Danio rerio: one gene and its partner. The protein of the gene in region 1 binds, or shares a complex with, the protein of each later gene. Links are inferred from orthologs where the notes say so. Each region holds a gene or a part of one and is shown on either strand. Other genes may lie near its edges.

Region 1 (3,659 bases):
GATTTCGGCCTCATTTCTCAACCTCGCGGGCTATTGGCCCGCCCCGGCCCGATTAAAGCCCTGGCTCGCACTGGCCCGATAGTGGAAATGCGGCTATTCACACCTCCTCCACTTGGCCGTCCTCTCCGCCGTCTTTCTCCTTGTCTTCATCCTCATCTTCATCATACTCGTCCTCCTCCTCTTCATCCTCCTCTGAGGACGTGTCTCCTGCGCCGTCTACCTGGAGCATCATAGGAGGTTGTTGCGAGGCCTGCTGCTGCTGTTGTTGTTGTTGCTGCTGCGCTTGTGGTTGAGTTTGCACCTGTGCATCTCCCGGTCCCGACTGCACTGCCATCGCTGCCGCCTGCATGACCTAAACAAGCACACACGATTCAATTCAAATTGAAGTTGATTTGTATAGCGACATTCACAATAATATTTTTTCAAAGCAGCTTCGCAAAAGGTGTACATTACTGCATTACAGTCAGAAAAATAAAGGTTATTAGTTACCTTATAAGTTACTAATCACTAATTGATTAGTAACTAAAAGCTTTTAACAGTGAAACTTATTATATTATAAACCTGTTAATTATTATATATCTAAACCGCAGTTATATAGGATATAGGTGATGCCTGTGTACATGTTCAATGAAATGTATTTGTGAGACATCAATTTCACAGACATCACAGAGATTTTAGTTTAAGGTGAGAGCTTGTGCTGACCTGAGTGTTCTGCGGTACTTTATTCCCCGTGAGGACGATCTGCTGCGGCTGGATGATGACTCCGGTTTGCTGAGGAAGACCTCCTTGAAGAGGAGTCAACACCTGCATCAATACACAGAGAGAGAGACACTTAATACACTCCTGTTCTCATAAACCGAGGTGTAGGAGAACAAGTCTAATCATTTAAACTAAAAGACCACTTGAAATACTTTGTTTCTCTGATTTATGCCTTTAAACGGACAGTTCACTCAAAAATGTAACTTTGCTCAATATTTACTAATACACAAGTGGTTCCAAACCTTTGAGTTTCGGCTGATATTTTGAAGAATGATGAAAAACTGACTTCCATAGTAGGAAAAACATTCTATTGAAGTCGATGGTTACAGGTTTTCAGCATTCTTCAAAATATCTTCTTTTGTGTTTTAACAGAAGAAAGAAGCTCATGAACAAGCAGAGGGTGAATAAATTGATCATTTACATTTTGGTAAAAATATAGCTTTAAGTTTTGTTTAAATATGGAGTATTTCTTTTTTAATTCTTTAAACTACTGATGGCATTTCGTACAGATTTAAAATAATGTTCTTTACTGCATACCCCACCCTAATAAATAAAACATGCAGTGTTTTCAGAAGTTATATACATTAATCATTTTTAAACAACATATTTTGCTATCATATTTGGTGGAAAAACCCCCAAGTTTCAAGCATAACAAATAAAAGCATTTGTTATTGACTAATTGTCATCGTCTAAAGCAAGGGTGCCCAAACCTTTTTCTAATGTAGGGCAAAAAAGGCTAATTTGAGTGAGGCTAGTGCACAGGTGTCAAACTCAGTTCCAAAAGGGCCGCAGCTCTGCACAGTTTAGTTCCAACCCTAATTAAACACACCTGATCAAACTAATTGAGTCCTTCAGGCTTGTTTGAAACCTACAGGTAAGCGTGTTGTAACAGGGTTGGAACTAAACTGTGCAGGGCTTCGGCCTTCCAGGAATTGAGTTTGACACCTCTGGGCTAGTGGGTCGAAGGTAAATATAGTTGTCATGAGTAAATTCCTAATTTATTTATTAATATTTAAAAATGACTAGAAAACATTGCTTTTTATTAACTAACAGTTTATTGTTAGAATTTATAAAAAATTTATTAGAATGTTGTATCAATAGTGAATAGTGTATCAGATCTTTATTAAACAAAGTAAGACTAGTTGTCTCTTCTCTACATCGGTTCTCCTCCTGCGAAGCATTCACTATTATTTCTGTTATTTCCTTTTTCAAACCGACTAAGAGAGCTGACAGGCATATAACATTGGCTAGCTAAAGACCACTGCTGACACGGGGAAACAAAACCCCACTGGTCACATGCTGTCACAGTAAACCCTGCAGCCTCCAGTGACTGAACTAGAAGTGAGTACAGCACAGGCTCATTAGAAATATGTGCCTTAGCCTACATTCCTGCCAAACAAACGTTGTTGCTCTGCATACATTTCATTGCACGTTTCAGATGACAAATACACTAGAGGGCGCTGTCTACACTTTGGGGAATCAGATAGACATTAATTAGGGCCCGTTTTGTTGTACATTTCAGTTAAACATCTTTCTTAAATAACACTAACCTAAACTCCTCCCTAATCCTAGATAATAGTTTCAAAAGTAAATGTAAGAACAACAAGTGCTGTTTTACCTTGATTTTACATTGCTTTATTCTGTCAAAAGTGTAATAAAAATAAGTGCTGTTTACCTTGATTTTGCATTGCTTTAATCTTTATTTGTCATGTGTAATAACAATAAGTGCTGTTTACCTTGATTTTACATTGCTTTAATCTTTGTCAAAGGTGAAAAAATAAGTGCTATTTATCTTGATTTTATATTACTTTAATCTTTTATTTGTCAAAAGTAGAGCAATAAGTGATGTTTACCTTGATTTTACATTGCTTTATTCTTTTACAAAAGTGTAATAAAAATAAGTGCTGGTTACCTTGATTTTGCATTGCTTTAATATTTTTTTGTCAAAAGTGTAATAACAATAAGTGATGCTTACCTTAATTTTACATTGTTTTAATCTTTTATTTGTCAAAAGCAGAGCAATAAGAGATGTTTACCTTGATTTTACATTGCTTTAATCCTTTATTTGTCAAAAGTAAATGTAAGAATAAGTGCCGTTTGCCTTGATTTTACATCGCTCTAATCTTTTTTGTGAAACAGTGCTTTACAGAACTCCTTGCATACACTACTGTACAAAGTGAGTTTCCAAGCAAACTGACCACACCAGAAAAGTTTTATACATATAGTTAAACAGGCGAGGCAAACATTTTTGATTATTAAAATCATAGACATTAAGTGGCTTTGTGGTATTTATTTGGTGTGTGCAAAAAATGCATACAAGTAATCCTTTATTCACTGACAATCGGTCCATAAATACCATTAGGGTGAAAAGGAAGTAAAGTTTTTGCAGTCTTACTGCCCTGTAGTGATCTTGTCACCAAGAATTTTTGATCAAACGGATGTTTGAGGACATTTTTGTGGTTTCTCAAAAATGAAGGATAAAACTTTCATTTCCAAGGAGCCTGTGTTGAGCAAGTCAAAGATTGATGAGAAAGTGAGTGTAGTGTTTGTGCAGAATAAAGCACAGACCTGCTGTATGACGGGGGCCTGAACACCCCCAGGCTGCATCTGCGGCAGAACCTGCTGCTGTAAAAGCATCTGCTGCTGAGGCTGAATGATGTACTGAGCTCCATTGGCAGCTCTGACCACCTGCAGGATCTGACCTGTAAAGCCACCAGACACATGCTTTTGTTAGGACAAATCTGTATTTATAGTGTTAACATGCAGTTAAAGATGGAAGGAAAAGGAAGGCATGTTGGACAGAATGTTGAAGACCTCTATTCATTGACTTCTATAGTATGGAAAACAAAAATACTATGGAAGTCAGTGATTACAGGTTTCCAACATTCTATATATAATTG
Region 2 (3,759 bases), on another chromosome or scaffold:
ATGCAAACACATGAACATACCCTAAATCGCTCCTCCAGCAGGGACAGCTCACTGATCAGATCCGTGATGGCATTAGTGAAGGCTTCCTGAGGACTGTAGTCTGGTGTCGTCTGAACGCGGATCACAACCTTATGCTCCAGAGGATGAGGAACCTTATATCCAGCAAACAGCACCTGGGGGTCCTTCAGCAACTGCCTAATGAGCAATTCCAATGTTACAAATGTGACATTTGCAGTAAGATCTCAAAACACATTCACAGAGAAAGTATGTGTTAACATTATACTGAAACATCTGTTTATATTTTCCAAAACAACTAACCACAGAGTTAAAACCTAATCTTTTTCATGACAAGGTTGACATTTGCATGGAATTGCTCTAATGTAAATATAGGATGATTACAAAACCCACATAAATATCTGAAAATGTTTTAGTGTATCAAAAGTTTGGTCTCTTACGATCGGATGATGTTTCCCAGTGTGTGATCCTCTTTATTTAGAGTAAACAGACATGCATTCGGCACCTTGGTGTCTTTGGTTATTGTGATCCTGTAAAAAGAAGTTGAACAGAAATTTTAGGCAATCCCTTACTTTTAAAAATAGTAATGTTTTGGTACAGAGTATATACAGGAACCAGAGAGTGAATTTCAATACCTTTAAGACTCTCTCCATACAAGACCTTAAGACCTTATTATCACTTAAGATTTCAATCGGAAACAATAAAGAGATTTTAACTTACAGTATATTTATTAAATATTAATGTAAAAAACTTACATATTGATATACATAATTATATTGAATTAAAATCTATTAAATATAGCTAATTCAGCAGGTTGGTGCCTATAGAACTGCAGAAATAATGGTTTTTCCTTGATAACTGCAGTAAACAAAACTGCATGATGTCAAATCTAGCAGGATTTCATTGATTTCATAAACTACACAGCATCCTGACATTTAGATTTAATTCAGGCAAACTTTAGCATACAACCATACCTACATTGCACAATCAAAATTATATAAAATTTAACACCTTGCAAAATAGCATTTAGGATTTTAAAATACTTTTTAAGGGCCTTACATTTCTCTACATTGATTAATCAACTTTTAATAGTTCTTAAGACCCCGCAGACCCTGTGGTATCATGGTACAATGTTGGCAGTAATATGTCACTTTGTTAAGTAGATCAGAGATGAAAAATGTTTTTCTAGGTAAATATACAAAATATAATAAGCTTTATCATCATATTTATCATCTTTTTATCCTACTATAATTTTAACCCTTATTAAGAGAAGATGCTCACTTAAATGTCATTCAGTGCAAAAATATTTTTTTATGCCAAAAAGTATTGTCAAGCATTGAGGTAAAGTTGGTTTTATATTCAGACATTTGGTAATTTTTGAACAGTGAAACCTTGTAACACTGTGCATATATTGTTTATCACACTGCTTTGAATATTCAGTCTAAAATAGCCTGCAAATATGACTTCTCAAAAACATAAGTACTATTTACCTGACTGAACAATGTTGTACTTTGATAGTCATTGGCTGCTAATGATTTCTCTATTCAGAATTTGCAAATAAAACTTTTCTGAAATTATATTAAGGAGAAAGTCCAAATGTGCGAATACAAAACCAATTTTACTTAAATTTGTCAAGCATATCTGTCAGAAAGAGGCATTTACAAGGCAAAACAATTTAGTTTAAGCACTTACTACTGCATATTTTAATCAATGTAGATTACAATAAAGGTTTACTTTTTAAAAAATATATTCATATTTATATGGAAGGTTATTTTACTAATATTTTTGACAATCTTATTTTTATAGTTAAAAGTTATTTAAAACATTAAAGCACACCTTATTTGCATAAATTTTATATGTTAACGTTACGTATTACCTCTGTTATTTAATTTGATGCTGAGACCAATTACTGTACATGTACTATGGTATTTACATGGTATTCAAAAAATGTCATGGTATCATGACCTAAAGTACGTCTAAAAACGAATACTTTTATTTAGATTCACAAGGTCACTTAACCAACTTAAACTTAATTGAGCTAAATGTTGGTATTACATGTCTTATTCAAACAGCTTAGCATCTGAAATTGTATTCGTTTATACAAAAATAATGAACAATAAACTTAAATAGTGAATGAATCAATCGTCGATATGATTTAAGCTGTATTGTATAAAGCACTCTGTAAACAGAAGTAGGTTGTATTTTGTTTTCAGATGGACTGACTAACGTAACCTGTCGTTAGCCAACAAGCTAAAGCCTTTTGAATCTCCCTCCTGTCTTCCAACTGAATATTTACTCTTATTATAGGCTAGTATAATATGTTAGTATAATTGAATAGCAAAGACAGCTTTATAGTGCACTTACTTCTTTTCTCCCTCAAACAGCAAAAAAGACTCGAATGCTGGTGGCGCGTTCATCCTGCTTCAAAACCAGCAGCGAACGATGCTACTAATGGACGCACGTTGTACTGCGCATGCGCATGACATGGGAAGACATGGGAAAAAGGGTAATATTGAGTGAATAACGACCGGGGGCAGTATTGTGTCGTAGTCTGGTCGTAGTATTTTCAACACAACGACAGAGTTAAGAGGTACCTTTATTATGAGTCTTTTAATACACTTTGGGTCAAAATGGTTGGATTATATATCTAATTTTGACCATCGCTTGTAAAAGTTGAGTATGGTGATTAGCATGGGAGTAATTATTGACCATTCCACCGAATGGATGCATTTTGCTTATTGTAACTCTTTACAATTAAACTTCTTTTAATTACTTTTCAAGGCGGAATCTAATAACACACATACTTAACTTTTCAAAATATGTATTGGTCCACATAAAATGACTTAATTTGAGTTTTTACAAGGTATTATGTGGCAGATGAATGCATTTTTCAGTCATATTACCCAAACTAACGAGTCTTTTAAAAAGCATGAATAAAAGTCTATCAGGTAATTACTTTGTTTTCCTCTTAAGAAAGTGATTTTCTTTTTAAAATATGGTTTGTTACACTTTCAAACATTTGATTTTTGTATTTAAAAAATCACGATTTACATAAAAAAATGTATTTTTATAGGAATGCAAAGGCACTTTCCCTTTTTTCAAGAAAACTGTGGCCTGAAATTCATGTTTTTTATAACATAATTTACTTAACATTTAAGTATATGATGTACAGAACTTAACTGAGTAAATTGTAGGGAAAAAAAGTTTTCACAAGAAAACCAAATCAGTAAGTGAAAAGAGAGAGAGAGAGTGTGTGTGTGTGTGTGTGTGTGTGTGTGTGTGTCATGTAGTGGAACTGTCATTTCTGAGAAAACTATTCCTTTAAATATCTTACAACTTCAACATTTCCATCCATAACGTGTGGAAATCAGATGAATAATATAATAAAAACTGTTCATTCTATTAAGTATCAGAAGATGCTTTTCATTATTGTTACTCATTCCTGTAACTCTTATAAGTAACAGGACTGAAAGTAACAGGACTGAATTTCTAGCATAATATTTGCATGTAAATGAAATTGAGCCACACGCTGTACATGCTAATAGCTCAAAGAAACTTATCAAACTCCCTCAACTTAACAAATATCAGAAATTTTGCACTGAACAAATTACCTCTATGAAGTAATTTAGGTAACAAGATAGTATTTTTAAAATGACATTTCCAGTTTTCATTGCAATATCCGCAAATATGTAAAAAAATAAATAAAAATAAAACAAGATATATTATCTTTGCTCTTTCAATGGC

What was found. Proteins that work in one complex are often made in the same cells at the same time.
Region 2: gtf2a1 (region 1) and polr2j share a complex: the UniProt entries of both Homo sapiens proteins name them as parts of the TBP-based Pol II pre-initiation complex. The link is inferred for Danio rerio from reciprocal best matches to the Homo sapiens genes GTF2A1 and POLR2J.

What each region holds. Positions count from the first base shown.
Region 1 is NC_133195.1:17,666,160-17,669,818, forward strand, and holds part of gtf2a1 (transcription initiation factor IIA subunit 1), read right to left. Parts: intron 3,462-3,659; coding exon 3,328-3,461; intron 805-3,327; coding exon 703-804; intron 353-702; coding exon 104-352; intron 1-103. UniProt on the Homo sapiens protein: TFIIA is a component of the transcription machinery of RNA polymerase II and plays an important role in transcriptional activation. TFIIA in a complex with TBP mediates transcriptional activity.
Region 2 is NC_133180.1:67,353,925-67,357,683, reverse strand, and holds the start of polr2j (DNA-directed RNA polymerase II subunit RPB11-a), read right to left. Parts: upstream 2,469-3,759; 5' UTR 2,433-2,468; coding exon 2,380-2,432; intron 546-2,379; coding exon 456-545; intron 196-455; coding exon 21-195; exon of another isoform or gene 1-20. UniProt on the Homo sapiens protein: Core component of RNA polymerase II (Pol II), a DNA-dependent RNA polymerase which synthesizes mRNA precursors and many functional non-coding RNAs using the four ribonucleoside triphosphates as substrates.